Linked DNA regions of Cricetulus griseus. The protein of the gene in region 1 purifies or fractionates together with the protein of each later gene. This does not show direct contact. Links are inferred from orthologs where the notes say so. Each region holds a gene or a part of one and is shown in the gene's direction. Other genes may lie near its edges. The genes, in order: Epb41l3, Hspa12a, 14-3-3 protein epsilon, Clns1a, Rnps1, Gsk3b and Pnn.

The links.
Region 2: the proteins of Epb41l3 (region 1) and Hspa12a purify together in Homo sapiens (affinity purification with mass spectrometry; 4 studies listed by BioGRID and IntAct, with this or other methods). This does not show direct contact. The link is inferred for Cricetulus griseus from reciprocal best matches to the Homo sapiens genes EPB41L3 and HSPA12A.
Region 3: the proteins of Epb41l3 (region 1) and 14-3-3 protein epsilon purify together in Homo sapiens (affinity purification with mass spectrometry; 3 studies listed by BioGRID and IntAct, with this or other methods). This does not show direct contact. The link is inferred for Cricetulus griseus from reciprocal best matches to the Homo sapiens genes EPB41L3 and YWHAE.
Region 4: the proteins of Epb41l3 (region 1) and Clns1a purify together in Homo sapiens (affinity purification with mass spectrometry; 3 studies listed by BioGRID and IntAct, with this or other methods). This does not show direct contact. The link is inferred for Cricetulus griseus from reciprocal best matches to the Homo sapiens genes EPB41L3 and CLNS1A.
Region 5: the proteins of Epb41l3 (region 1) and Rnps1 purify together in Homo sapiens (co-immunoprecipitation; 3 studies listed by BioGRID and IntAct, with this or other methods). This does not show direct contact. The link is inferred for Cricetulus griseus from reciprocal best matches to the Homo sapiens genes EPB41L3 and RNPS1.
Region 6: the proteins of Epb41l3 (region 1) and Gsk3b purify together in Homo sapiens (affinity purification with mass spectrometry; 4 studies listed by BioGRID and IntAct, with this or other methods). This does not show direct contact. The link is inferred for Cricetulus griseus from reciprocal best matches to the Homo sapiens genes EPB41L3 and GSK3B.
Region 7: the proteins of Epb41l3 (region 1) and Pnn purify together in Homo sapiens (co-immunoprecipitation; 3 studies listed by BioGRID and IntAct, with this or other methods). This does not show direct contact. The link is inferred for Cricetulus griseus from reciprocal best matches to the Homo sapiens genes EPB41L3 and PNN.

The regions. Positions count from the first base shown.
Region 1 is NC_048595.1:457,934,396-457,938,896, forward strand, and holds the start of Epb41l3 (band 4.1-like protein 3), read left to right. Parts: upstream 1-1,465; coding exon 1,466-1,657; intron 1,658-4,501. UniProt on the Homo sapiens protein: Tumor suppressor that inhibits cell proliferation and promotes apoptosis. Modulates the activity of protein arginine N-methyltransferases, including PRMT3 and PRMT5.
Region 2 is NC_048596.1:2,559,842-2,563,680, forward strand, and holds part of Hspa12a (heat shock 70 kDa protein 12A), read left to right. Parts: intron 1-346; coding exon 347-518; intron 519-3,766; exon of another isoform or gene 3,767-3,839. UniProt on the Homo sapiens protein: Adapter protein for SORL1, but not SORT1. Delays SORL1 internalization and affects SORL1 subcellular localization.
Region 3 is NC_048600.1:89,212,795-89,216,633, forward strand, and holds part of 14-3-3 protein epsilon, read left to right. Parts: coding exon 1-48; intron 49-2,734; coding exon 2,735-2,871; intron 2,872-3,839. UniProt on the Homo sapiens protein: Adapter protein implicated in the regulation of a large spectrum of both general and specialized signaling pathways. Binds to a large number of partners, usually by recognition of a phosphoserine or phosphothreonine motif.
Region 4 is NC_048596.1:101,796,743-101,801,162, reverse strand, and holds the start of Clns1a (methylosome subunit pICln), read left to right. Parts: upstream 1-1,347; 5' UTR 1,348-1,437; coding exon 1,438-1,562; intron 1,563-4,420. UniProt on the Homo sapiens protein: Involved in both the assembly of spliceosomal snRNPs and the methylation of Sm proteins.
Region 5 is NC_048600.1:43,953,992-43,958,307, forward strand, and holds the start of Rnps1 (RNA-binding protein with serine-rich domain 1), read left to right. Parts: upstream 1-1,386; 5' UTR 1,387-1,537; coding exon of another isoform or gene 1,538-1,539; intron 1,540-1,848; exon of another isoform or gene 1,849-1,929; coding exon of another isoform or gene 1,930-1,973; intron 1,974-2,877; exon of another isoform or gene 2,878-3,079; intron 3,080-4,316. UniProt on the Homo sapiens protein: Part of pre- and post-splicing multiprotein mRNP complexes. Auxiliary component of the splicing-dependent multiprotein exon junction complex (EJC) deposited at splice junction on mRNAs.
Region 6 is NC_048597.1:52,008,267-52,012,834, reverse strand, and holds the start of Gsk3b (glycogen synthase kinase-3 beta), read left to right. Parts: upstream 1-1,714; 5' UTR 1,715-2,236; coding exon 2,237-2,324; intron 2,325-4,568. UniProt on the Homo sapiens protein: Constitutively active protein kinase that acts as a negative regulator in the hormonal control of glucose homeostasis, Wnt signaling and regulation of transcription factors and microtubules, by phosphorylating and inactivating glycogen synthase (GYS1 or GYS2), EIF2B, CTNNB1/beta-catenin, APC, AXIN1, DPYSL2/CRMP2, JUN, NFATC1/NFATC, MAPT/TAU and MACF1.
Region 7 is NC_048598.1:143,473,596-143,477,158, reverse strand, and holds part of Pnn (pinin), read left to right. Parts: intron 1-2,134; coding exon 2,135-2,290; intron 2,291-2,368; coding exon 2,369-2,507; intron 2,508-3,453; coding exon 3,454-3,563. UniProt on the Homo sapiens protein: Transcriptional activator binding to the E-box 1 core sequence of the E-cadherin promoter gene; the core-binding sequence is 5'CAGGTG-3'. Capable of reversing CTBP1-mediated transcription repression.

The DNA.
Region 1 (4,501 bases):
ATCGCATATGGTATCCGTGCATATGCCATTTACTTAAGGTCTTACACTAGCCCTTGGCTCTGAATATTTTTTAATCAGGTAATTAGAACTGTGAAAGGGAATGGTAAAAGATGTATTATCTGTGGGATATTTACCATCCCTATGCAAAGCACTTAAAAGTCAAGTCTGCTTGGCATAGCATCTCTCCTACTACACACAGAAAGAATGGGTTTTATTAAAGACACGGAGCATTTCTGCGAGCGAGAGGCAAAAGTGACTGAGGAATTATTATTTGGGTTTGAACATGTTCAGCCTTCTCATATGGCCCCCGTGGAAACTGAGGCACAAAATGCTGGTCTGCTTTAGCACTCTGTTAGAAGGTGGTAGTTTTGGGTGGTATTTTTAGGGTGGGGCAGCCTATTACTCAGGAAGGTCTTTGCTTGAATTTCTTGTGAGATGTGAGACTGAGGTATCCTTCAGTGTTCACAGGCAGGAGGGAGCCAGGAAAGATGTGGGAGGGAGGGGAGATACAAGCTGCCCTTCAATCACAGGACAGATGCTGACGGTGTGACGCTTGCTGCATTTGTATATTTCAGTTCAAAAGGAAATAGCAGAACTGGGTGAAAACCAGTAAGAAAGACATTTGCTATTGCTAGAAAAATCCGTAGATTTGGGGGTGGGAGAGTCCTTGGTGCAGAGTTGAGAAGCCTGTGGGATATCTAATCTTGAAAGTCATCCTTCACAGGTCTTAGAATATACATACTCAGCAAACACATACTCCTCATCCGCTACCCTAATTAGCAATGATTTTAAAATTTCACTTGTGGCCACCATCTATTATGAAGAAACCCTGTTGATTATGACAGATTAATCTCTAGTGTGTGTTTGTCCCACTTAGGGTTTTAATTGCTATGAAACACCATGACCAAAAGCAGGTTGGGGGTGAAAGGGTTTCTTTGGCTTACATTTCCACATCACTGTTCATCACTGAAGGAAGTCAGGACAGGAACTCAAACAAGGCAGGAACCTGGAGGCAGGAGCTGGTGCACAGGGCATGGAGGGGAGCCACTTATTGGCTTGCTCCTCATGGCTTGCTCAGCCTGCTTTCTTACAGAACCCAGGACCAGCAGCCCAGGGATGGCCCCACCCACAATGGGCCATACCCTCCTCCATCAGTCACTAATTCAGAATATACCAATTCAGAATATACCCTTCAGACTTGCCTGTAGCCTAGTGTTATGAAGACATTGTCTTAAGTGAGGTTCCTACTCTCAGATGACCTCACTGTGTTACACGTCTGCTTTGAGCCACTGTGAGCACTGTGAGCACCATTCTCTACACAGCGCCTCTCTGGTGTGCAGTGTAGGACTGTGCTTGGCCGGGGCGCCCCTCTCCCTCCTCCTCCCTTTCATACTAGATCTCCTGGAAGATAATCACAGCTACTGACAGGTCCTTGCCTCTCTTTCTGCTTGCAGAACAATCAACCATGACGACCGAATCAGGATCAGACTCAGAATCCAAGCCAGACCAGGAGGCTGAGCCCCAGGAGGCAGCAGGGCCTCAGGGACAGCCAGGGGCACAGCCTGGACCAGAGCCTGCCAGCGGAAGCAGTGAGGACCCGCCAGCGCTAGAGCAGTTCCCTGCAGCTGCTGCACATAGCACCCCGGTGAAGAGGGAGGTGAGCCTGGAACATCGCTGGGGAGGGTCAGTCAGGGGACCTGGCTGAGCTGTGCTGCTTCCTCCCAGCCCTAAGTGCAACTCTGAAGGTCACCTGCTTTTGCCCTCTCACCCAAAGGGTCAGTGGTGTCACTGTTGAAGGCTTTCAGTCAGGGGCACCCCACAGCCTTGACTGGTACCTCCTGCCTTTGATTAAAGCTGTTAACACTCAGCTGAACTACTGACAGACGATTCTGCCTAGATCTGAGTTTACCATAAGGGCAGACAACAGCTGGCAGCCCCACTATGCCTCTCGCTGTTTTTCCCAGCCATTATTCTGACCCAAGCATGGTCATATACTTTCAGCGACTCTTTATTTGTGGCGGAACTCCTCCCCTGGTATACATTTGTAGGGTCATTGCTGTTCCTTATGCATGTTCGGGGATGTGGGAAGCGATTACTTCTGCCCTTTGTGAGTTGGAACACAGCAGTGGAGCTACCTATTTAGCCTATGGAGGTTTGGTTCCATCCCCACTACTATCAAGAAAATAAAGATCAATAAGTATAAATATGTAGATAAAATCAAAAGAATAAAGTACGATGATGACCAGATGAGCCAGTATAGTCTGGAAACTTCAAACCCTGGTGCTTTAGACGGCTTTCTTGTGCATGATAAAGGGATCTGGAGCCAGAGGAGCGACTGACCTCGTGTTCCAAAGGGTTTGCATAGTCAGAAATTTTAGCACATGTTGAGTGAATGGTTATAAAGTTAGCCTTGGGCAGAAAACTCCATTACAGCACGTTACGACCCTGAACACTTGTTTATGAGGCGGGGTATGTTACTGTGGTCACATGACATTTGCAAGTTCCGGTTTTTAGGTAGCATGAATGGGGCTGGACAGATTCAGAGCACTGGCTGCTCTTGCAGAACACCTGGGTTCGGTTCCCAGAATGCAAGCCGTTGCTCACACCCTCTGGAACAGTTCCAGGGGATGGTAATCCTTTTCCTGACTTCTGCAGGCACCAGGCACCCATGTACTGCATATACATCCATGAAGGCAAAGCACTCATGCACATAAATAAGTGTGTATAATAAATAAATTTAAAGAATGAAGGAAACCATGCAGTCAAGAGACTTGGCAAACCTGCGGTGTGTACTGCAGCTGTCATAACAGCTTACTGTGTTCCGTAGTAAACATTTTTATAAGCGGGAACACCACACTGTAATATGGTTTAAAAAGTGTATTATAGTAAACCCACAAGCCAATAATATAACAATTTATTATGATCAGCTATGATGTGCTATATACATAAGTGTCTCGGCTGTACTTTTGTGTGTCTGATAATACAGACCATCACAGACACCTGAGCTGTGTAGTGTTTTGAATTTCACAATGGCAACTGTATCACGAAGCAGTTGAATTATGTGTTTACACAGATTTTTCTTTATTCTTGAGAATTTCATACATATGTGCAATGAATCATTCACTTCTGGCCCCTAACTTCCCTGCCCAACTTTCCCCGAAGCCCTTCTAACCAATCCAGCCTCATGTCTTAAGAGGCCACCGTCATATATGTGGTCTGTGTGGTGTTACATGGGCCATGACTGTACTTTGTCTTCCATAGTCAAATGTTTGACACCAACAATGGATATGATACTGAATCTGCAGAGGGAAATGTGCCTGGTTGCACAGGACAGACAACTGAGTAAATCCTGTCTCACGGCAACATTGGTCTGCTTTGGAAGACTCTTTCTGGCCTTTGGTCCTCACGTTCACCTTTACAAAATGTTAACAACAACGATTCTCTCTGAAGGTCTTCTATTTGGTCATAGGATGATGATTAAAATGTGGCTGGATTTTAATTTTATGACCTTTTGGGAAGTTTCCTAGCCCCCTGGTCCTGTGGCTCTTCATTTATAACTGAGGTTTGTAGTACCTACACGTCAGAGCAATGAGGAGGATTGCGTGGAGTGGAAGATTTGTGTAAATGGAGCTCTCAATTGGTCTATATAATAAAAAGCCGGAGTCAGAGATAGAGGGAAATGCTGAGAGATCAGAGAGAAGGAGCAAGTCACAGCACACCTCACCTCCTAAGTGTCTCAGCAGAGAAGAGAGCGAGTTCCTGTTTCTCCCTGTTATATCCTGTTTCTGCCCAGCTGCATCACTTCCTGTCTGTCTGTACAGACCTCCAGGCCTCCATGGTTAGCTAGTGGCAAGCTCCATTCTCTGACCCCCAGACAGGCTTTATTTGTGCAAGAAAGAGATCACCACATATTTGCTAAAATGATTGACAGCCATGCATCACATGACTCTAATTGGCAGTTCACCTGAGACACTTGGTCTGCTTTTCCACACGTGGCTTCTAAAAGCCACGGTGGTAGATACCGGTTTCATGTGTTCCAGAAAGATCTGTCCTTGAACGATGGTTGCCTAACGACATCATTTGCAGTTGATGTTTAACTAAGCCAGAAAGTTTGTTTTCATACAGATACTTTTAGTGGTGGGCAAACAGTCTCATCTCTTGCAGTATATAGAAAAACGGTGATTCACAGCAAAATTTAAGTTAAAAGTAGCTTCAGTTGACTTTTCCAGTAACGAGACAATTTAAATATGTTGGGATCATATATAAATTATAATGTATTAATTAAGATATATCATGGCTCATAATTTCAGGATTACTGTACTTCTCCCTAAACTATGTCAAGGCCAGATTAATGATGTTTTATAGATTTCTTGCATTGACCATTTTGATGCTTTAATACAGTCAAAATAGTAGGACTGAGTTGTCAAAATGAGTTTTCTTTAGTTTATTGACTTGTTGAAGTTTACTTTCTCAATTACCTTGGCTTTTCAAATTGGCCATT
Region 2 (3,839 bases), on another chromosome or scaffold:
GCTTACACACTAACCTCATCATTACCCACGGTCACCTTGCCTCTCCCATGGCACTTTTCAGTTCTGATCTGAACAAGCCCCAGGGGCCAGAGTGCCCTGCATTTCCCAGGAGTCCTTTGATAATTCAGAGACATTTGAGAGCTCAATGTCTGTCTGGTCACCTCGGGTATCAAATTCTGCAGAGGATTGTGGAAGGAATGTCCCCCCTACCCCCACCCCGAACAAGCTAAGCTCATTGCTCAGTTCCTCCCCTGGGTGTGTCACCCACACTGCAAGGTGTGGTGGTCCTCTGAGCAGGCCTGCCCAGGAAATCCCAGGTCCCAGCCTCTGTCTCTCTGTCTTCCAGGCAGGCCTGGCCTCCCCTGAGAATTCAGAACAGCTCATCATTGCCTTGGAGCCCGAGGCCGCCTCCATCTACTGCCGGAAGCTGCGGCTGCACCAGATGATTGAGCTGAGCAGCAAGACGGTGGCCAATGGGTACAGCACCAGTGACTCAGTAGGAGCGGGGTTTACACAGGGTACCTCTGCTCTCTCTCTCCCTCCCTCCGCTTCCCCACCCCAATCCCCTGGGTGTGACTGAGCTTGAATGATGCTCCAGGCACCTCAGGCTGTAAGGGTCAGGATACTCCATGGGGAAGACGGGGGTCTTAAGCCCCTCCTCGTTCTGTGTTCCTACCTGGCCCCTAAGAGCACTCCCCCATAAGATAAGCGTCAGTTACCCTGGCTTGTCACTTCTTGGGGTGGGGGTATCTCCACCCCAAGGGTGACCTGAGAGCCATTCTTAGCCTTGCACTTTACTTTACAAGGACCGAGGCTTGTCTTGTCTTTCTCCAAGTCAGTCTAACCCACTTTGCCTGCCATGAACTCCTCCATCAAGACTGTTGACTTGTTGCTGTCTTACTCACTGGGCTGCTCTGGGTGTGTGGGAGGGATGGGCCCTGTAACAGGTAGAGACTGAGGGATGCTGGGAGAACCTGGAGGCCTGGTCCTTTTTGATGGTTAAATAGGCACGTCGGCCATTTGTCCTGGTTTTGAGACCTAACAGGATCTGCATTTTCCACAGTCCCCACACCAGAACCCCAAGTCTGCCCTGGCCAAGACCCCAGGCCCAGGCTAACCCTGGGAAGATGCGCTTCCCATCCCTGTGTACTGCAGTTTTCCTCAGGTCACTCCTCAGTTGTGAGTCCTCACGAGGACAACTCTGTCCCAGGAGACACCCTTTTCCTTTTAATCCCTTGCATTAGTTTCAAGTGGCTCCCAGGGGGTGGCAAGAGCTAAGCTTGTCCCCCAAGCTGCTGTCTCTGCTTGCCAGGGACTATGTGTCAGCACCTTAGATCCTCTTTACCACAATGGATGCAGAGACTTGCCTTTAGGCCCAAGGGCTATATTAGTCCTTATCCTCACTAATGGCCATCCTGGCCTTGCCAAGGGATGCCAAGGCCAGCCTTGCCTCTAAGGAACCTGGTGCTTTATCATCTCAAAGACACAAAGGCATGCCTCTCTCCATTGTCTCACTGGGTGGAAGATGAAGCTTGTGGTCTTACAAGCTAATTCTCAGTTCGTAAACAGAGATTCATATCAGGGTCTATTGATTTCAGCACAGCTTTTAGTATGGACTGGCCCTCGGTTTCCAGGAGGTGCCTGCTGACTTCAAATGAGATCCTTCCTCAGAGTTCGGATTCAGGTTTCCCAGCCTTTAATCTGCTCTGTCTCCCCATGGCTGCTCTGTCCTAACTGTTCTGTGGCTTGTGGATTCTGTGGCTATCTGTGTGCGCTCACAGTGGGGAGCCTTTCCTTTTGGTTTTTGGAGCCTCATTGGCGACCAACATGCCTTGGAGGGACAGCAAAGCAGGGGTGTAGGTGTCAGCCTTGCATTGTAGTTGGGCTGTCTCTCCCAGGGGTGGGGTGCCGTAGGGACCCCAGGGGACATCTGACGCCCCGTGGGTCCCTCGTGATCAGAGGCAGTGGACTGAGGCTACTCTAGAGGGAGGGAGCTGGCAGACACTCAGCCTCCAGCACTCCTGGTTTGCAGGGAACACTCTGTTACTCCTGATGGGTTTTAATGGGATCCATAAAACATACATTTGTCCAATCTTGGGCTTAATCTGCCTGAAAAACTGGGATGGTTCTTGGCGAACTGGGAAGTTGTTTTGTCGCCTTCACTCAGATATCTCTTATGAATTCCATCTGTGGCCATCTAAATCGTTTCAGCAAATCCGATCCCTGCTACACGGTGTTACTGTTTTGTTTAAAAAGAAGAAAAGAGAAATTGCTGAGACGTGAGACTTAAGACTATAAGTTTATTATAAGGCCCGGCAGAATGGGGAGACTAAGAAGAGGAACAGGGGTAAATGGCTGACCGCCATGGCCTGTCGCCATAGAGAGACAGAGCGAGAGCATAGGTGGGGGACAGAGTAGCACAGAGAGCGGGACAGAGAACGGGAACGGAGAGCACAGAGAAACAGAGAGCGTAAATGGGCAGGGGCCTATCTTTTAAAGGGGTCCTCTGCACCTGCGTGCAGACTTATTTCCCTGGAACCTTGGGCTGACCAGGGTACTGCCTGTTTCACCAGGTAACAGGGGCAGGCCAGCATAATGCCTGAACCTTTCACACGGTCCGAGAGGCAGCTTGTTTCTTGTTTGGCCCCTGCAGTGCCTGGGATTCCTCTCGGACCAGCGTGGGAATTGGAGAGAAGCCCAAGTTTGGGGAGACCTCCTGGGGTGCCCCTTTGACCACTCTAACCCCAGGCTCTAGAGAACTCAGAGTCAGCTGGGGCGTTTGCTGGTCTAATCTCTAGAGAAGTTGGTTTTGCGAAGGTCAAGGGTGCTGCTAGATGAGCATCCAGGAGGGGCTGAGTGGCATTTCAGAAGGAGTTGGGTAGCTTAGGGGTTTAAAGACTAGAAAGGTCGGGGAGTGAGGGAGGTAGGAGGCAGCAGAGCCTTTCTCTGTCACCCCACGGCTGCTCTAGTAAATCATTGGTTGCAGTTGCCATCCAGGGACCACCAGGTCTCATAGTGGGTGTCCTGTTTGTTTCACCCACCGTGTGCAGGCTGTCACTCCAGGTACACAGTGGACAAGCAGGCTGCATTAGGGAAGCAGTCCTTCTCTGTCCACGAGAAACCCAGACCAACTAGTGACACACCCATTTTATAAAGGAGGAAACCGAGGCCTAAAGGGCCCACTTGGCTGAGGCCTGCTGCTTCCAAGGTACCTTTTCGCAATACCTTTCTTGGCCCATTGCTCTGCTTTTCCAGGCCTAGGAATCATTAGATCTCAAAAGTCGAGGGGGTCTCTGGTCTGACGGTTCATATTGCCCAGACAAGAGACCTGGAGCTTCCGAGTGCCGTGACCTCACCCTTCGCAGCTGAGCAAAGGACGGTTATGAGTGCCCTGTCTGTCCCAAGGCGTTGCAGCGCTCAGCACACAGGCGGAGGCGTACCCTGGGTACCCTGCTGTTGGATGCAGCGCTGGGATCCCCTAGGCTCAGATGCTGCCTCGTGGGTGAAGCGCCCCCCTGTGGCTGAAGTGCACATTGTCTCCAACAGCTGCAGGGTCGGGCTCTAAATTCTTTTATGGGAGATTCTGATGGACCCAGCATTCCAAAGTTGCACGATGTGGAACGGCTTAACCTGGTGCACCGTGGGCTGCTGGGAAATGGGCCCATTTCATTAACCCACTCCCCCAGAAGAAAGTCACCACGGCCAAGACTCTCCTCGGGGCAGGCTTTACAGCTGGGCCTGGGCCGAGGACGAGGGACTGACTGGCTTTCTGGTTTTTGAGGTCGTGTTTATTAATCCTATTGGCCAAGTGTCCGCAAACATTCCGTCCCTGCACCCAC
Region 3 (3,839 bases), on another chromosome or scaffold:
TTCCGTATTCTACTATGAAATTCTTAATTCCCCTGACCGTGCCTGCAGGTAAGTTATGGAAGAACCAAGTTCCTAGTGTGGAGTGCAGAGGTTCTAGAGGAGCTACCTTCTGTTTTCTTGTAGGTTGTCACAGGGTTCTGTTGACTTAATTTGTATGTATTAGTCTTCATTTAGTCTTTGAGTTACTTATGACAGGGTTTTGGTAGCAGGTATCTTGCCTAGCTTATCTTTGAATGTTCAGTTCTCATGTCTCATTCTCCCAATTGTTAGGTATCATAGACATTTACCACCCCACTTCTCTGGGAATGCATTTAATACTCTTGGTGAACTTTTTTGTTGTGGTTGTATTTTGAGACAGTTTTCCTATGTAGCCTTGGTTGTCCTAGAACTTGATCTGTAGACCAGGCTGTCCTGGAACCTAAAGAGATTAACCTGCCTCTGCCTCTCAAGTGCTGGGATAAAAGGCGAGTGCCACCACCTCCTGACAAGAACTTTTTTTTTTTTTTTTTTTTTTTTAATTTTCTGCTGGGCATTGATGGTGCACGCCTCTAATCCCAACACTCAGGAGGCAGAGGAAGGTGGATCTCTGTGAGTACGAGGCCAGCCTGGTCTACAGAACGAGTTCCAGGACAACTTCCAAAGCTATACAGAGACACCCTGACTCGAAAAACAAAACAAAAAAACAAACAAAAATTCTGTTTAATACGAACAACTATATTATCAGTCTCAGTGGTGTTTATGAAACTGTTGCCACACGAAAATTTCTGCACTTTTTTTGGGGGTGTGTGTGTATGTGGGTCCATAGCATGGCAGATGAAAGTCTGAACAACTTACAATTAGGGACATCACATAGTTGTGAGCAAATTTCGGGTGCTGGAAATTGAACTTGGATCCCATGGAAGGGCAGTAAATGTACTTAACTGTTGAGATTTGTTTAAATGCAAATTAAGGATTGTTGTACTGGTAAACATGTATACTACAAAGAATTCATTGTAACCATTTTCATGTGTGTACTTGAGAGGAGTTTAATATGCTCACAATTTTTTATGACCTTTAGTACTAGCCATTTCATCACTTTCACCACTTGACCCAAACTAAGCTTTAGTAACTCCACTCCCCAGTCTCTTCTAACCTGAATTTGTTTGTTCTTGGCATCTTATATAAGTAGAATTGTATCTGTCCCTTTCTGTCTACTCTATTAATTTCTTGGTAACAGTATCTGTAGATCTTCTATCCTGGGGCAGTGACTTATGCCTGTAATCCCAGTCTTCAAGAGACTGAGGCAGGAGGATGGGTGCAGTTGAAGCCAGCCTAGGTTACAGTGTGAAACCCTGTCTCAATCTTCCTCTTCCAAAAGCTGGGTGTGAAGGTCCATCCCTGTGATTCCAGTGCTCTGAAGGTGGAGGCAGGACAACTAGGCATTCAAAGTCAGCTAGGGCTATAGGAGACACTGAATAAAACAAAACAATTTTTTTTCCTCTTCTTTTCCTTTAGGAGAGGGTAGTTGGGTTCTGAATTGTATCCATTGTAGGTATGTGCCACAATTGTGTCTTATCCAAAGACACTTGAACCTTTTTGGATTTTCTAGGCAGGGTTTCTCTGTGTAGCTTTGGCTGTCCTTAGAACTCAATCAGTACAGACAAAGCTGGCCTAGAACTCAAAGAGATCCTACTACCTCTGCCTTCCGAACGCTGGGATTAAAGGCTTGTGCCACCACTGCCTGGCAGGAAAATATCTTTGTCACAAATGTATTTTGGTGGAGGTTGGACTATATAGATTATTTTCAGTCTAGCCTATTTGTAATAGTTCATGTAATTAAAAATTAGTGCCTTGGGGCTAGAGAAATGGCTCAGTGTTAAAGAATATGTTCTTTTAGGGTACCTGAGTTTATTTCCAGCACCTGCATGAAGCAGCTCACAGATGCCTATGACTCCAGCTCCAGGGGATCTGTTGCTTCCAGCCTCATCTCTGACACCTGTTCTCTTGTACATATAAATACAAATACATATTATCAAAAATAGTAAATCTTGGCTGGGTGGTGGTGGTGCACACCTTTAATCCCAGCGTGAGGAGGCAGAGACAAGTGGATTTCTTGTGAGTTCGAGGCCAGCCTGATTTGTAGAGTGAGTTCCAGGACAGCCAGGGCAACACAGAGAAACCCTCTCTGGAAAAACTAACCTTTTTTTTTTTTTCTTAGCTGAGTGAGGTGGTCCATGCTTGTAATCATACCACCTAAAAGACTGAGGCAATTTATGTAGTTGCTTTGAGATAGTCTCACTGTGTCACTCCAGATGGCATGGAACTAGATCTTGTCTCCATGTACTGTTTGTTAGCTCTCTTTGCTAGGCTTGAAATTTCAAGGGTTTGTATAGGAAGATGTTTAAAATGCAACACGAGCATCTCTAGTGATGCCCAACTAGGTAGGGATGCTTGTTATCAAGCCTGATTAGCCTGAGTTCAGTCCTTGGGATCTATGTGATGGAGGGAGAGGCAGCTGTGACAGGTTGTCATCTGACCTTCAGGTGCATCCATACAAAATTCTACAAATACATCTTTAAAAAGTTTTTTTTTTTAATTAAAAGCAGGCTGAACAAAAATACAGTCTTACATGTTTTTATTCAAAGTTATCTTTCAGCATTTGTCTCTGTTACCTTTATAGCACTGGAGAACCGAGAAATAGCCCATTGTTCCTATCTTTATTGTTAATTGAATGCTGACGATGCATTTATTTCAGGTTGGCAAAAGCAGCTTTTGATGACGCAATTGCAGAACTGGACACGCTGAGTGAAGAAAGCTATAAGGACTCTACACTTATCATGCAGCTGCTACGTGATAACCTGACGCTCTGGACCTCAGACATGCAGGGTGATGGTGAGCAAGCTCAGATGTTTCTCTTTGGTGGTTGCCTCTTCTAAGAACTCTTGGTGTTTCTTAATCTTTGTGTAATTTTCAGTCATAGCCTGTCTGCAGTAGTTGAAGTTCATTCCTTCTGTAGGGAATGATGCCCAATTGTCATTTTGGCCCTTGATAGAAAGTAAAAGGCCTATTTGACAATTTCATTCCTGTGTAGAAATATAATGCAAATATTTAAAACTGTAAAAGTTTTGCCTTTAATAATGGGGTTTTTTTAGTACTCGTACTGCTTTAGTCGTTGTAGGGACAAAATGACAGGAAACCATTTCTTTTTTACTTTATTTTTTTTTTAAACTTACATTGTTTTGTCTTATGTGTTTTGACTATTTTTCCTACGTGTGTCTGTGTACTGCATGAATGTCCTCAGAGGCCAGAAGAAGGCAATGATGAATCTCCTAGAATAGGAGTTAACAGATGGTTTGTAAGCAGCCTCCATGTGGGTGCTGGGAATTGATCTTGGGTGCTTTAGAAGAGTAGGCAGTGCTCTTAACTACTGAGATCTCTCTCTATCCCCCATCATTCCTTTTACCTTTCCGAAATTCAACTGGGGGGGGTAGCAAAGGTTGTTTATGAAACTATCTGGTGTTAGTAGGCATTAATGAAATATCTCTTGTGTGTGGGGTCTCCAAACCTCAGACCTGTGTGTGCCAGGTACCTATTTCACCTCTTACTGTACCCTGGTCCCTGTGTAGAAATCTTTTTCTCTAAAAAGCGACTATTTTCCTCTAGGGTTCTACGAGAAATAAAATGATCTTCCTTAGGTCCATGCTTAAGAGTTCTGGTATTGTCTGGTCTTAGATTTTTATTTGCAAAATTACTGTTTTGGGGGAAGTAATTGCTGTTTGTGGGAATGCATGTATAAATTTTAACTTCAAATAGAAAAGTTGAAGTTTGTTGAATTTGTTGATTTTGTTTTTTAAAGGCGT
Region 4 (4,420 bases), on another chromosome or scaffold:
CACACACACACACACACACACACACACACACACACACACAGTTAAAAAGTAAAAATAAATCTTAAGAAAACATCTCCACACTAAAGACTCCTCTGTTGAAAAGATACCAAGAAGAAAAAACAGGGGAAAAAAAAAAGAAAAACAAAACTCTTAAGACAATCTATATGTTTTGTCATCCAACCTAAACAGCCCTAAACCCATAGCTATTACAACTTTTTTAAAATGGTTTTTCAAGACAGGGTTTCTCTGTGTAACAGTGCTGGCAGTCCTAGAACTCATTTTGTAGACAAGGCTGGCCTAAAACTCAATGAGATCCACCAGCCTCTGCCTCCCAAATGCTGGGGTTAAAGGCATGCACCATCACCGCTCACCCGGCTGCTGTGACAATTTTATAGTTAAAAAAAAAAAAAAAATGAAGCCTAGAGATTGGCTGACTGAATTCCATCCTCTGGGTCTCTCATTTCTAAACTCTAGCTTGTGAGTTTAATGCCTCAGCTCTCATGTGTAAAACGGAGTCAGTTAATAGAAAACTTGTTCTTATTATTTATCATAAAGAAAAAAATATGAATTAAGCAGATGTGGTGATGCTTGCCTGTAACAGTACTTGTAGCCAGAGTAGGGTGCATGTGGATAAAAACAACAAACAACAAGAATCCATGAAGAAATGAGAGTGGTAAAGTGCTTACGCTGTGTGGCACATAGCCGTCGGCTACGGGTGTCTATTTACTAAGTCTTCACTGCTCTTTCTTTGGGGCCTAGAAGTTCCCGATCAATGGCTGCCTTTCCCCTCGGCGCTGTCTTTGGACTGTCTCGCCGCCCTTTCGTTCAGGTAATGTAACCTCTTTGCGCTGCTGTGGCGTGGCACGTGGGGATGGGGCGCTATGAGGCCTAAGACGGAGGTCTGGTGAATGGCTGTGTGAACCGGTGAGATCAGGCCCGATGAGGCGGGAGCAGGAAGAACCGCGCATCCAACCGGGGGACTTCTGACCTCCAGATGAGTGTGGACTCTATTTCCCGTGCGTCCTCCTAGGCCCGTTCCGGGTTTTGTTTTGGAAGGCACAGTATTCCTTAAACATACTCTCTCAGGGATTGCTGTGACGACCTACAAATAGAACCACAGCGAAAAACACTGTTATTCTAAGCCTCCTCAGAGGGGCGGGGCGGGGCGGGCGGGGTGGGGCGGGGCTGGCGGGGCGGGCGGGGCCGCGAGTGGGGGTGGGTGGAAAGACCCATATCACGTGACAAAAGCCAGCCGGGTCCTCACGGACCTCCGGCGTCTAGACCGTCCCATCTCTATGGTCAACGGCTCGCCGAACCCAGCGGGGAGGAAGTTGTTCTTCCGGGATAGCGCTACTGCTTCCGGGCCTGCTCATGTGGCCTGGGGTTGTGGTGCTCCGCGTCTAGGATCGTGCGGAGGGAGCTAAGAATTCACCCGCAATGAGCTTCCTCAAAAGCTTCCCGCCGCCTACGTCGGAAGACGGGCTCCGGCTGCAGCAGCCAGACACCGAGGCTGTGCTGAACGGGAAGGGTCTCGGCTCCGGGACCCTTTACATTGCGGAGAGGTAGGGTCCCCGGGCTCCGGCGCTGGCCTCCTTCGGGGGCTCCTTCCTCCCTTAGGCACGACCTCGGGGCTGCTGCGGGGAGCGGGGAGCGACGCTACGAGTATGGTGGTTGAGAGGGCTCCCCTCTCCCGATCCCACCTGGCTCTGTTCTCTAGACGGTGTTTCTCCTTAACGACTTGTGCTTTTTACCGGCCTGTCTTCTGGAGCCTGGCGCGTGGTCACGTTTAGAGTTTTGAGTCTGCAGAGCCTATGTTAGTTCTCGATGTGCCTGGCTTTCTTAATAATCGTGTGAGCTACCTGTTTTTACCTGCGTAAGATATGTGAGTTCAGTGTAGATTGTGAAGGGTTTGGGACCTTTGGTTAATGAGCATGGATTTTTCTGCTCAAGGTGTGGGTGGGGAAAAAGAGCATCTTCAGGCCCACGCAGGGCGGGGTCATAACCAGCCGGCCCTGACTCCGGTCCTGGAAGGAATCTTACTGTTGTTTGACTACAGCGCTTTGTACTTTCACAATAAGGTAGACACGTCACTGGAACACACACTCTCTCTCTCTCTCTCTCTCTCTCTCTCTCTCTCTCTCTCTCTCTCTCCTCTCTCTCTCTCTCTCCTCTCTCTCTCCTCCCCCCTTCCTGTCCTTCAGAGTGTCTGATTTACCTTCTGCTATATTTCATTTGTCCTCCACGGAGTACATCCTCTGCTTTTAAAAGCTCGTGTTATAATATTGGGCCTGACTAGAAAATCCAGGCTAGTCCCCTTATTTCACCATCAGCTGATTGTCACCACAGGGGCCGAGAGAGAGAGAGAGAGAGAGAGAGAGAGAGAGAGAGAGAGAGAGAGAGACAGAGAGAGAAGGTATTAGAATGACTTACAGGGTATGGTCCAGCTAATCCAACAATGGCTGCCAATGAATGGAAATTTCAAGAATCCAGAAGTTGCTCAGTCCAAGAGGCTGGGTCTCTCAGCAGATCTTCAGTGGATGCTGGAATCCCATTTCAAGATCAGTATTAAAGTCTTTCTGCCTCAAGATCCAGATTAGAAGTGGATTTTCCAATGGGTGCTGGTGCTGCATGCCTTTAATCCCGGCACTAGGGAGGCAAAGGCAGATCTCTGTGAGTTCAAGGGCAGCCTGGTCTTCGGAGAGAGTGCCAGGACAGCCTCCAAAGCTGCACAGAGAAACCCTATCTCGAAAAACAAACAAAAAAGTTACTTTTGAGCTTAGAAACAATGCCTCTTTGCATGTCATTCCAAAATTAATTTTAAACCAATTAAGGTCAGGGTCTCTTACTTTTCTGTACTGTTTTCAACTCTTCACCAGAATTAAAAGATACTGCTTGTCCTTATTCATAAGTGTCAGAGTTTAACAAAACATTTTTCAACTGGTGTTTACTACTCTTTTAGTTCTTGTATTTGCATTTATGACATTTTGTTTTGTTTTTTATGACTGGTCATAGTTAATTGTATATCTTGGTTTTGGAGTACTTCTAGAATCTGTGACAAGAGACAAAGCAGGGTTAGAACTTAAGTCAAATAAGTATTGCTTGCAAGTGCCACATCCATTCTTCATGAGCCTCTCAGAGGAGCACTGTGCAGAGACAAAATGCTGTCATTCTTAGGGGCTAGATAATGATTTCAGCCTCTAAACCAAAGGCCATAATTTGCTAGACACTGATTTGATTTAGATGCTAACTTTTCCACTGCCCGGTGGAGTTAATAAAGGTTTTGTGGCTCTGAATATTTGAAATTATTTTGGATGGGTAAATCTGAATGTTCCATTCTAAATTGTGGTCATGTCAAGAGATTTTGGAGGTGAGAAAGGAAACATAGTTTGCTAGGTCTATTCTCAGTACCCATGAGCACTGTTTCATTCCCACATTAGAGAAGAGCTGTGTGTGGGAAGGGAGGATATGTGCAGCACACAGTCAGTTACATAAGAAATCTGTTCCGTTACAAGCAGTAGGGACGAAATAATTCCTCAAACTATTTTTTCCCCCTGAGATAGGGTTTCTTTGTGTAACAGCCCTAGCTGTCCTGGAACTCACTTGCTCTGTAGACCAGGCTGGCCTCGAACTCACAGAGATCTGCCTGCTTCTGCCTTCCTAGTGCTGGGATTAAAGGTATTTGTCACTCACTACCTAGTTATTTTGAGACCTGGATTCTGTGTAGCCTAGACTGGCCTGGCATTCATTATGTGGCTCAGGTTAGCCTTGAACTTAACAGCAGTTGTCCTATAGCAGTCTCCAGAGCGCTTGTATTATACCTGTGATCCATGGTCAGCTTGTCAGAACTGTATGGAAAGTAGGGTGAGGCTGAGTATGGGGGCACAGGCTTGTAATTCCAGCACTTGCCATGTGGAGTCAGGAAGAGCAAGAGGAGAGTCTAGAGTTTGTGATTATGGCTGGGCAGGGTGGAGCAGGTCTTTAATCCCAGCACTGGAGGCAAAGGCAGGCAGATCTCAGTGAGTTCTGAGAGTCAAGCCTATTTAGAGACCTTGTCTCCAAGAGGGGAAAAGGATCATGGCCAACCTGGGCAACAAGCTAACATGAGCTAAATGTCAAAGCTGGAGGAATGGGGAGGGAGGGAGGAAGAGAATAAGGAGGAAGAAATTGGAGAGGGTACAGGATATGCATATGTTCTGCAGAGGTATGTCCCTATTCCTTTAATTTCTGTTTTAAGTTTTAATTAGTATACAGTAGTTGTATAAAAAATGACTTTTATTAGGATATTCCCTTTTAAAGTAGCATTATTGACATGGTTTCCATGCCATACAACTTATTCATTTCATTCATAGAAGTTAATGGTTTTTATTATGCACTTTTATCTTCACTCAGTCTTAGAACATTTTGTTGTAGCCCCCCAAAC
Region 5 (4,316 bases), on another chromosome or scaffold:
TGCCTCCCGCTTCTGAGTGTCAGTGCTGCTCTAAACCCACAGTTCTTGAGTTTGCGGGCTCCAGAAGCCTCTCTAATTACAGACTCCACTAAATCTTCAGAGAACTGCACATGCTGCCTGCTTGACCATCACCACTCCATCTCAGAGCCTCAAGAGCCCTTTTTAGACAGGAACAGGTTGAAGCTCCTGGGACACTGCTCTTCTAAGACCGTTAATCTTGGTTGTCACCCTGACTGAATTTAGAATTAACCAAGAGGCACACCTCCCGGCGCACCTGTGAAGAATTTTTGTGATTGTTAAGTCAGAGTGACTAGATCTGCTAACCCACTCCCAAGAATGAACTGGTGGCTCAAGGGAGCAGACTCCAGAGGCAGGCTCCTTTTCCTGCCCTGTGCCCAGCTCCTTGAATTTATCTCCTCCCTCCATCTCTCCATGGGTCACCAAGGGGCACACTGGCCTCCTATTTTTCACAGCGATATGTAATCCAAACCAAGTCACCTTTGTTTCTTCCTCCTAAACCTTAGATCAATTCCTCTCTCTTCCTTGCTGTCTCAAACCTGTTTAGATAACCGCAGGGACTGTGTACATATCCATTCCTTCCTCAAAGAACCACAGAGGAAGGAATACGCCAAGCGAAGTTGGGAGGCGGGGCACTGCAGCACCACGGGTACTGTGTAGCCTAGGCCCTGGACCTCTATGTCCTGACAATGACCTTCACCCAGACTGGCGTTCCTTTTCTTCTCCCAGCGAACCTGGACGCCTTCCTTTGCACCTGTTGTTCCCTCCGCCCCGCGCATCCTTTTCAGAAATGTCACCTCGGAGACGCCTCCCCTACTGCATGTCTTCGGCATTTCCTCAAACTCCTTTCTTTCTGGCCTACCCGCGTCTACGCAGTTTTGGCGGCAGGAACCCACCGTCGGTACCAGCCTGTCCCTTTAGAATAAATAGCACGGCTTTGCTTGGACTCTCCGCCGCCTGGGCTGTAAGGCGCACCACTCCCTGCAGGGCGCGTAACCATACCGTAGGCCTAGCACTCAATAAGAGAGTCAATAATAATAGTAAGAGTCGGTAAGAGCCGGGCAGTGGTGGCGCACGCCTTTAGTCCCAGCACTCGGGAGGCAAGGCAGGCGGATCTCTGTGAGTTCAAAGCCAGCCTGGTCTCCAGAGGGAGAGCCAGGATAGGCTCCAAAGCTACACAGAGAAACCCTGTCTCAAAAAAAAAAAAAAAAAAAAAAAAAAAAAAAGTCAGTAACAGAGACAACCAGAGTATATCCTTCCGCACACACGCAGCCCTCCAGTCCCCGTCAGCCAATCATCCGCGCGCTCCGAGGCTGCGCAAAACGAGTCCCGGCAGGACGCTCTTCCTATAAACAGTCGCGGCCTTCAAGTCTCCACCGCTCGGGTGCATTGGCTGAGGAGCTTTACGTCATCGTTGCGCGACGACGCAGTGTCTTCCCGCTTCTCAACTCTGACGACGACAGAGTTGCGCCGGCCTCCGGGTCTGAGAAGAGCGGGAGGAGGTGGCGGCCTCGGGAAGATGTAAGTTGGGAAGGAATCCGGCCGCATCCGAACTTCGGGGACCTTCTGCCGGGCTCGGTGGGGAGCATCGTGGAGCCGGTTGCGTTTCGCAGCCCCGCAGTGTGGTAGAGGTCTGCCGGCGACGCGCAGAACCCGAAGAGAAAGAGTGGTTCAGGTCGGGCGGAGTGGGAGGTGTCGAGGCCGCGGCCCGGAAGTGGTCGAGGCGCTCGCAGACGGAAGGGCGATCCCGCATCGTTAGCTTGGCGGCGCCCAGCGTAGCTTGCGGGACTCCCGGCTGCTGCGAGCGCCGCCTCTTCTCTTGTTTTTTTTGTCTAGCTGGAGACCTAGGCTCGCCACGCCAGGCCCTACCTGAGTTGTGAGTGGAGAAAGGGTGGGAGGCGAGGTCGATATATGTGGCCGGAGCAGACGGTGCCGATTGTGAACCGGCCTAAAAGGTTGGCTTTCTTTTAGATCTCTTTTCACGAGTGTCTATCGAACTCCTGCGTGTAGTTCTTAGCTCTGGGCCTTGAGGATCCGGCTCAGGGTGGGCTGAGCACGGTTCCCGAGCTCAAAGGGAGACTATTGGAAGGTTATGGTTTGGTGGTAGGCTTTCTTTCTCTACTTTGTGTTATTTCGTAGGCACGGCGTCTCAAATGTGCTTCTATATGTAGAGAGTGACTTGAAGGTTGACGAAACGGCCTCTGCTCTAGATTTAACTAATTGTTTTCTCCTCTCTGGCTGTTGGACGCACACTTCCGGAGGATGGGGAGGTGACCAAGGTCCTGAGCTGTTACCTGAACTTGTGTGAGCAGAGACCCTCACCTTTGCTTCTAGCACTCGACCACACCCAGCAGAGTGTTCGCTTACTCTATAGTTAATAATTTGTGGACTGCTTAAGAATAACGGGTTCTGGTTGTTTCATAAAGTATATTCCTACAGGTTGGGGTGGGGTACACAAGCGAAATCGCTATTCTTTGCCACTGATAGCTATGAAGCACTTGGGTAGCAACCCAAACTGAAATGTTAAGTAATTTAGTACGGAAAAACCACAAATACTTAGTATTTTAATATTGGTTATATGTTATAAAAGTAACACTATCTTATTAAAAACTAAGTTTGGGACCCATGATCCCACCACTCTCAAGAAAGAAAGAAAAAAATCATTAATTTTGTACTGTTAGTCTATGTCAGTAGTAGAGTCCTTGTTAAATGAGGGGGGGTTGTTTTCTTTGCTCTTTTCTTTTTTTTTTTTTTTTTTCCTTTTCTTTTTTTTTTTTTTAAACAATAGTTTCTCTTTGTAGCCCTGGCTGTCCTGGAACTAGCCAGCTCTGTAGACAAGGCTGGCCTCAAACTCAGAGATCGCCTGCCTCGGCCTCCCAGGTGTTGGGATTAAAGGCGTGCAACACCATTGCCGGACCAGGCTCTTGAGTTTTATTCTCCAGCACTACAAGAACAAAACTTTTTTTTTTTCCCACCGGTTTTGATGTGGCTGCAAGGAAATTTGAGGTTGTGTTCATGGCTCACACTCTTACTGGACAGTGTTGTTCTATGTGACCTAAAGGTGAGCTGTTAGAGGCTTTATTAAGCATTCAGAAATCATGTGTAATGAGGAAAGAATGGGTGTGGACCTAGTTAATGCTGAGCTAGCTGGGTGCCATATCAGATTCACAGACTGATTTAGCTAAGGCCTTTGAGTAGTAATTGTCAGGAAAGGTGAGGCTGTAGGAGTAGTTCAGTTAGTAGTATGCTTTTGCCTACCTTCGTGAAGCCCTGGTTTCAGTCTCCAGCCCCATATATAAAACCTATAATCCCAGTGGAGGCAAGAGAAGCAACAGTCAAACTTTACTGCATAGAACATTTGAAGCCAGCTTGGGCTGGCGACCTTATCTTTAATAAAATAAGCCTTTTAATCCTTGTACTCGGGCAAGGGGTTAACTTGATCTACCTAGAGAGTTCCAGAACAGTTAGAGCTACATAATAAAGAGAATCTGTCTCAAAAAAAAAACAATAAGAATAACAATGAGTGCCAGCCAGATTTAGTGGCTCACACCTTTAATCCCAGAACTCCGGAAGCAGAAGCAAGAGTATCTCTGAGATCAAGGCAAGCCTGGACAATAGAGTGAGTTCCCAGACTGCCAGAGCTATGCAATAGAGAGGGTCTGTCTCCGTAAATAAAATTATTAGAATGAGCCGGGCGGTGGTGGCGCACGCCTTTAATCGGGAGTCAGAGGCAGGCGGATCTCTGTGAGTTTGAGACCAGCCTGGTCTACTAGAGCTAGTTCCAGGACAGCCTCCAAAGCCACAGGGAAACCCTGTCTGGAAAAAAACAACAAAAAAAATTAATAATAATAATTAGAATGAGTGCCATGACCAAGATGAAGATAGTGAAGCATGAAATCAAACACAGGCATGCTTGCTTACTCCAGACCATGAATTGCTCATGTTCCCTGGTAGGTGTGTATGGTATGTTTTAGGGCAAACAGATTGAAAAGATGTTATGGCCCTGGAAAGGAGCTATATAGGTGACCATTTGCTGTCTTCCATTTATTTGTTCAAAGCCAAGAACTCCTTCTTCTCTTTGGGGCTAGAATATTTATTCAGCAGCATCTAAAAATGCCCTGTCTCTGAAATCAAACTCTGATGGTGTATTCTTTCTCTCGTGGTTACAGTTGAGGAAGGTGAGAGAGTTAAGTTACATCCTGAGACCTTTGCTTATAATTTTCTCCCTGAGAAGAGGGCACAAGAAACAGTTTGTATTTCAGTTATTATTACTGCTATTTATTGTTATTGCCTGTAAG
Region 6 (4,568 bases), on another chromosome or scaffold:
GAGCTCATCTCTCGGGGGCGTTTCCAGAAGGCCGGGCCTGGCTGCATGCGCCTGGCGCAAAGGGCCCATGCTGGCAGTAGCCCCCCGCTATGGGCGGGCGCGGCTGCACAGAGGCGCTGCCTCTCTGGAAGCTTTGTTCCCATTTGAGCGCCAGAGGGTTCGACCCCAGCCACGGGGGCCCTAAGCCTTCCGGGGGAAAGAGGTTTTCAGATGCTCAGCACGCGCAGAGAGCCTAGGGAACACTCTGTCGGCCGCGCCCCGTCGAGCATCGGGGGATGGGGACGGCCCCTCGCCCCGCTAGAGCGCCCGAGTGCAGCCCGCCGACCGCAGCACTTTCAGACCAGCTGCACAGACAGCACGAGCGTCCTGTCGGAAAGCAGATGCGGGCCGGCCAGTCAACCCGTCCGCCCGCTCCAGGGACTACCCGAGGCCAATCCCACTGCAGCTAGGTCTTGCGATTGCACGGCAGTAAGCACCCATTGGCTACCTCCACGGGCTCCTGCACCCTCCTTCTCCCTTCGGAGCACCCCTCCTCCCCGCTGCGCTTCTGCTCGACGCTACAGACCAATGAGCTGCCACTTTATAGACGCCCTCCCTCCGCTTTCTTCTTCTCCCCACCTCGAAGAGGGAGGGGAAGTTCTGACTGGCCAGATGTCCTCGGAAGCCCCCGTCCCTTCACCAATCACTGAGAAAGGTACACGCCCAGTGGAGCTGTCCAGCCAATGAGGAAACGGGCACGGCGCCCGGCTGTGCAATTCCTCCCGCGACTCCGGAGTTTCGCTGTCCTTAACTCTTCAGGCTTTTCCCTGCGGGCGGGCAGCTCTGATTGGCCGCTGTTGCTATTGTCGAATCTCTTCTCCAGCCAGCCACAGAACAGGGCGATTCCACTCTCCTTCTGTTCGGCTACCTTCGGCATCCCTCGTTGCTGGGGCGTGGTCTCCCAGCGGTGTCTTCTCATTGGTTATTCAGGCCGCTCGGCTTTTTCCGTCAAGGAGCCGCAGGCAAACGACGTCTTTGATTGGTTCCGGTTTGGGTTTCGGCTTCCCAGCCGAAGCTGGCGGGCGCGGGCTCGGCGGGCGATTCCCAGACGCCTGTTACGCGGGCGGCGGGGCGCTGGGCGGTGTAAGGCTGGGTGGGGGAGGAAGGAGGCGGAGGACGAGTAGGAAGGGGGAGGGGGAGTGGGGAAGGGCTAGGCGGCTGCGCAGACGGCGCGCCTCGCACAGAGCAGCCCCCGACCCGGCCGAATGCGGGCTTGTGCCGCCGCCGCCGTCGCCGCCGCCTGGGCCGAGTGACAAAGGAAGGAAGGCAGTGAGGAGGAGCCGGCCCTGCAGCCGCTGACAGGGCTTCGGGCTCGGGGCACAGCGCGGACACTTCCTGAGCAGCCGCTGAGCACAAGCGAGGGGCGGAGGCCGGCCGTGCCGGGGCCGCGGACGGGGGAGGGGACCCCGAGGGACGGAAGCGGTTGCCGGGTTCCCATGTCCCCGGCGTATGGGGAGCAGTCAAGGAGCCGCTGCCTGGGGTCTGAAGGGAGCTGCCTCCTCCGCCGCCGCCGCCATGGCCGCTGGATCCAGCCACCGCCTGCAGCTGCTCCTGGCGCAATGAGGAGAGGAGCCGCCGCCGCCACCACCGCCCGCCGCTGACTCGCGACTTCGCTGCCCTCCGGTTCACCCGGCCGCCGCCGCCGTCAGACCGCCGGATCCCGCTGCTGCCGGAGCCGCAGCGTTAGCCGTCGCATCTCCGAGCCATCTCCTCCCTCCTTCCCATCCCCCTTCTCTTCAAGCGTGAGGCTCGTGATCCTTCCGCCGCTTCCCTTCTTCATTGACTCGGAAAAAAATCCCCGAGGAAAATATAATACTCAGAGTACTTATTTTCAATCAAGTATTTGCCCTCGTTCACGTGATATATATATATATATTTTTAAGGATTCCACTCCACCCTTTTTCTCCCCTCCCAGGAAAGGGAGGTGAAAGAATTGTATTTTTCCCCCAGCCCTAAATCATCTATGTGTTAAATATCCGTACTGATCTGTCTTGAAGGAGAAACACATCGCTCTCAATTTTTTTTTTAAATAGCTATACAAAAGGAGTGAAAAGCCAAGAGGACGGAGTCTTTTTTTTTCTTTTCTCTTTCTTGCGGGAGAACTTAATGCTGCATTTATCATTAACCTAGCACCCTAATATAAAACAAAAGGAAGAAAAGGATTAAGGAAGGAAAAGGTGATTCAGGAAGAGCCATCATGTCGGGGCGACCGAGAACCACCTCCTTTGCAGAGAGCTGCAAGCCAGTGCAGCAGCCTTCAGCTTTTGGTAGCATGAAAGTTAGCAGTGAGTATCGATTTTATTTTACACCCTTTCTCCACCTCACCATTAAGATAAGAAACCTCGAAATGCCAGGACCTTAAACTGAGAGACCTGATAGAACAATCAGAGGGTAATGGAAAAGGGCAAAACCTTTCTTGAGTCAAGACGAAGCATCTCCCTTTTCTCCTCCCTTATCCGTATCCCCTCCCCCAGCCTCATTAACCTTGAATTGAGAGAATATTAGTTTTATTTGGCTGGTTGGATTCGAAACTCGTTTTCTTACTCTCTTCTCGATGCTGGTAGTCAGTCTCTTCAAGTGCTCCAGTGCCTCCAGATTAAAAAAGCGACGGAAGCGTCTACTTGCCCATCCCTTTGAATAAAGAGGACAAAACTTGATTAATAAACCATGATGTATATTTGCCGAGTATGTGTCTTCTGGAACGAGGGAGGTTATTTTAGCTAGCTCAGGTTATCATGGTTCTGTATTCTAAATAGAGATATTAAGAGTCCCAGGCTCCTAATATTTCTTTTTTGCCCGTGTGACTATACAAAGTATTTCTTGATCTGGGAATGAACTTGCTTGGTAACCCACATTCACGTTGGAGGCAAGCTAGCATCCATCCCTCACTCTAGTAGGGGCTGGTAGAAGCCGATAAGTACCCCAGATAAATAATCCCAGCAGTTGCATCTCTAAGTGCATTGTCTTCAATTGGATAAGTGGTGTAATGTGTTATCTCTTAACCTTCCTGTTTTGACGTCGCCAATCTGCCACCGTATAATTTGTTTAATCAAAAGGTAACTTGGAAGTAGATTTAACTTTTGGTTGAGGTTGTAGTATCATTGGGCCAAATACTAAGTTAAGTGTTAATTGTCACTGACTCATTGTCATTTAAGTTTAATTTTGAGGTGCCATTGCTCTCATTACTTGGTAATTTTTAGAGTACAAGTGGATATCCTCTTAGGATTATTTAAAATGTATCAGTATCTGTCACTGTCTTTTGCCCAGGGATCTGTGCTGAAAAGTCCAGTTGTTGAAGTGATTGATATACTGAGTATCCAGTATTCAAATGTATCTATTTGTGGAGATGTTTATGTGGCATTTAATGACAGCTTGTTTGAACATACTTGAAGATTCTGGCATAATTACTTCTTTTCCTTATTCTATGAAGGAAGAGTGAGGACACAAAGATCCTTAGTTGCTGAGAGGAACTGAGATAACTGGAGAACCGAGATTTTTAGAAAGTCAAAATGTATGTGCTGCTCTGTGAAGTGGATTAAGCAATCGGAAACGATTCCTTTCGGTTGCACCCAAGACTTCATTCGTGTAGGCTTTTGGAGCTTGCCCGGAACAGGGTAGTCCAAAGTGATAGCTGAATGGGAGATATTTTTGCAAGTTAAAAACTTTTTCCCTTCAGTGACTAGCTAGTTTAGAACGCAGGGCATGTGAAGGGGAAGCTGATTTTGCATCTTTCAGGGAAGGGTCGTGCTTTCTAAGCACTTTATGGAGTCATTTGGAAGGAAGTTTTAAAAATGTTAGGGTAATTTTCAGTTGTGACGAAGCAGACCTCTTGATAGCTGCCTTTTGTGGTACTTCAGTATTTGTGTGGTTAGTTAAAAAAGCCGCACAGTTTGAGGCAATCCACTTACTGCGTTTATTTCAGAGATCTGTAATGCCAGAATCAAATACCAAAACTGGGGACTTTCATGTTGTTTCAGGATTTTCTTTGAAAACAACTTGTTAATTCTTGATAGAGGTTCTTTAGGATGGAATGAATCCAAGGAATGTAGTTTAAAGTGTTTTAATTTCTGTATTACCATATCAGTCAACATTAAAAAGACTTTAATGTTGATTTTAAAGAGTTTAATGCGGTGTGTGTGTGTGTGTGTGTGTGTGTGTGTGTGTGTGTGTGTGTGTGTGTTTAAATAACTGTGAAGTTAAGGACATGTAGATGAAGGAGGCAGACATTTGTTAGGGTGCTGGTGTTCTTTGGCACATAAGACATTATGGTCCTTGTCCCCAGACCCCTGGATGGTAAAGGCATACATTCAGAAAATAGTGAAGACCATAGCATGATAACTGCAAGACTCTAAAATGCAGATTGAATCAGTCGTTCAGAGGGACAAAGGGAAAGGGTAGTGAGAAGGAAGGGCCGGGGCAGGGAAATTTCTGCAGAGGCTGCGAGTTCTAAACAGGTGAACTGATGGGAAGCATGCCCTGTAGGTAGAAGGATCGCACAGCCACAGAGTATGCATGTTATATGGGAGGCA
Region 7 (3,563 bases), on another chromosome or scaffold:
TATGTGTTTACTCATTTATTTGTTTGGTAGGTTACCTGCCCACCTTTGAATTTTTGAGATGGGAGTCTCACTGTATAGCTCTGTTTGGTTAAACCTAACTATGTAAACCAGTCCAGTCTTGGCTTCAACAAGATCTGTCTGCTTCTATGTCCTGAGTGCTTGTGTTAAAGATGTGAGCCACCATTCCTGGCTTTTTAATAGGCTTTTGCCTTTATTTTATATGTATGGATTTTGCCTTTATATATGTGTGTGTACAGTGCCTGTGGAGGCAAGAAGAGGGTGTTGGGTTCTAGGGCTGGAGTCATAGAGTTGTGAGCTGTCCTGTGGGTGTTTGGAATCAAACACAGGTCCTCTTGGAAGAACATCTGGAGATTGTTTTTTGTTTTGTTTTGTTTTTTAAGTTCTGAGTCATTTTGACCAAAGAAAGTGTTGTTTTAGAGATAGTGTCTTAATGTAGTTCAGGCTGGTCTATACTCTTAAGATTTTTTGTTATGTTTATTTTATTGTGTATGTGGGTACAAGTATTCTATGTTGTCTTGTGAAGATGATAGGAAAACTTTGATGTGGACCCAGAGGATTGAAGTCCAGTTGTCAGCAAGTACCTTTATCAGATAGTCCATCTCACCTGGCCATGACCTCTTAATCCACCTGTATCAGTGCTGTGCTGGAATTATGGGCCTGTAACATTTTACCCAGCCTTAAAGCTTTTTAAAGATTCCTATTAAGAGCCTGTCTCAGAAATTCTTGTCCTAGAAGAGTGGTTCAGTTGTCAGAGTCCTTGCCTAGGACAGTTAAGGTTTAGGCTCAATTCCCAGTACAACCCTGGCCCTCTCACCACCACCCCTAAAGGGGGGGGGACTTCTTTAAAGACAGTAATACAAAGTAAAATCTAAGGAAACACTTTGAACCTTCAGAAATTGTTGAATTTTCAATTGGCCTTTTTCTATCCTTTTTAAATGTTCTTTGTATTGTTATAAAGAACCTGAATCTATAAATATTGAGGACTACATGGGTTCTAAGCTATAACGGTCTTGTTGTGATACCCACTTATTGTGATACACTTGGGTATCAAGTTTTCTTGGGGGGGGTTAATTACATTTATGTGGTAGGGCCATGTATATTGAGTGAAATCACATAACAATTTTTGGAGTTGATTATATTTCCCTCTGAGATGTGGGTTTTAGGGATTGAACTCAAGTTGTCAAGCTTTGAGGGCATTCACCTTTATCTGTTGAGCCATCTTAGTGGCTCTAGGTCTCAGATTCTTCTTCAAACAAGGAGTTTTGGGTTTTGCAACTAATCCAAGTATTTGGTTCTGTTTTGTCTTTTTGGACTGGGGTCTCATGTAATCCAGGCTGGCTTTGAACTACCTATAGAGCTGAGAATGACCTTGAGCAATTGGCTTCCTGCCTCCCACACCTACATTCTGGAATTACAGTCCTTAAGTCACCAGGACCAGCTCAAGGGTTGTAATTGAGTCTTACTATACACTCAAAGGCAGTTCTTGCCAATGGGGTTAATTGTGTATGTATATATATATCCCCAGCATGTGCTCTGGGAATGGAACTCAATTGCGCAGGTCTGGCACCAAGTGAGCCATATTGCAAATCTGGGTTAAGTTATATTAAAGAAACATTTATGATGCAATGGAATGGTTAATCTGTGACTAGTGACTTTTTATGGGAAAAGGCCTTAATCACTATTGCCTGACATTGTCATTTGCAATCAGTCCTAAGGATTAAATTATAATTACTTATATCTTGGGGCTGGAGAGATGCCTTAAGGTTAAGAACAGTGACTGCTCTTCCAGAGGACCTGAGTTCATTTCCCAGCAACCATATAGTGGCTCAAAACCATCTATAATGACATCTGGTGCCCTCTTCTGGTGTTTGGCATATATGCAGACAGAACACGGTATACATAATAAATAAATCTTTAAGAAAAAAAGAATAGCTCAATTTATTTAAAAAAATTACTAATATCTGAAAATGTAATGCAGATAAAAGTGCAAGTAAATTAATGTAGTAAAATTGTAAGTTTCAGGTAGTCAAGATATGTAGTATTTTTATTGTATTTGAAATAAAACTAAAACCTTGATTATTTTATGTACTAAATCAAGATTACTTATTTTTAGCAAAAGAGACGTCAAGAAATTGAACAAAAACTTGAAGTTCAGGCTGAAGAGGAGAGAAAGCAGGTTGAAAATGAGAGGAGAGAACTGTTTGAGGAGAGACGTGCTAAGCAGACAGAACTGCGACTTCTGGAACAGAAAGTTGAGCTTGCACAGCTGGTGAGCAATGTTTTTTAAGTACTAAATTAGATGGTCCTTCATGTTTACAAAGCACTGACCTTTTTACCTTTTCTTTAGCAAGAAGAATGGAATGAGCATAATGCCAAGATAATTAAGTATATAAGAACTAAGACAAAGCCCCATTTGTTCTATATTCCTGGAAGAATGTGTCCAGCTACCCAAAAGCTAATAGAAGAGTCACAGAGAAAAATGAATGGTAAGTCATGATGCCCATTTAGTAGAAATGATTTAATAGTTCAGTTTGGGGGGCTGGAGAGATGGCTCAGAGGTTAAGAACACTCACTGACTGCTCTTCCAGGGCTCCTAAGTTCAAATCCCAGCAACCACATGGTAGTTCACAACCATCTGTAGTGAGGTCTGGTGCCCTCTCTGGCCTACAGGCATACATGCAGACAGAACACTGCATACATAATAAATAAATAATTAAATCTTAAAAAAAAAAAGAATAGTTCAGTTTGGGGTTTTTATGGTATACTGAAATGGGTGGTGGGGTTAGGGTTTAGGAGTATTTTCTGCATATTGAGTTTAATCTCAGCCAGGTGGTGGTTCGTGCATGCCTTTAATCCAGTACTTGGGAGGCAGAGGCAGGAGGATCTCTGCAAATTCGAGGCCAGCCTGGTCTACAGAGCAAGTTCTAAGATGCACAAGAATGCTAAGGAAATAAGGCAGAATAAACATGAATTTATATCGGGTATTTACATGGAAGGTTAGACACCACTAGGTGGGTAATTGGCACTTTGTTGTGCCTGAGACCAGGAAAGGTAAAATGGTAGTTCTGCTTCAAGGAGATTTTGATTGTCTTCTAGCAAGAAGTTCAATAGCAAAGATGTCCAGGTTTGCAGGAGTATAATTCCTTGATCTATAGGTGTCCTGTCAGTGTGATTTTAATGTCAGTTTGTAATACATTTACCGTAACCGGTATTTTGTCATCTTTTTTGGAAAACATTTAGGGACTGGTAGTTTAGTTCATCTGTAGAGTGCTTGTCTAGCTTGAATAAGACCCCTGAGTTAAGTTCCCAACACTGTCTAAAAAAAAACCCCCTAGGCATATGAAAAGATGATTAGATGGTGGTGACAGTTTGTGACCTGGTTTAAAATTGTTATTTTTAATTTTCTTAACTACTGTAATTTTTATTGTTTAGCTTTATTTGAAGGTAGACGCATCGAATTTGCAGAACAAATAAATAAAATGGAGGCTAGGCCTAGAAGACAATCAATGAAGGAAAAAGAGCATCAGGTGGTGCGTAATGAA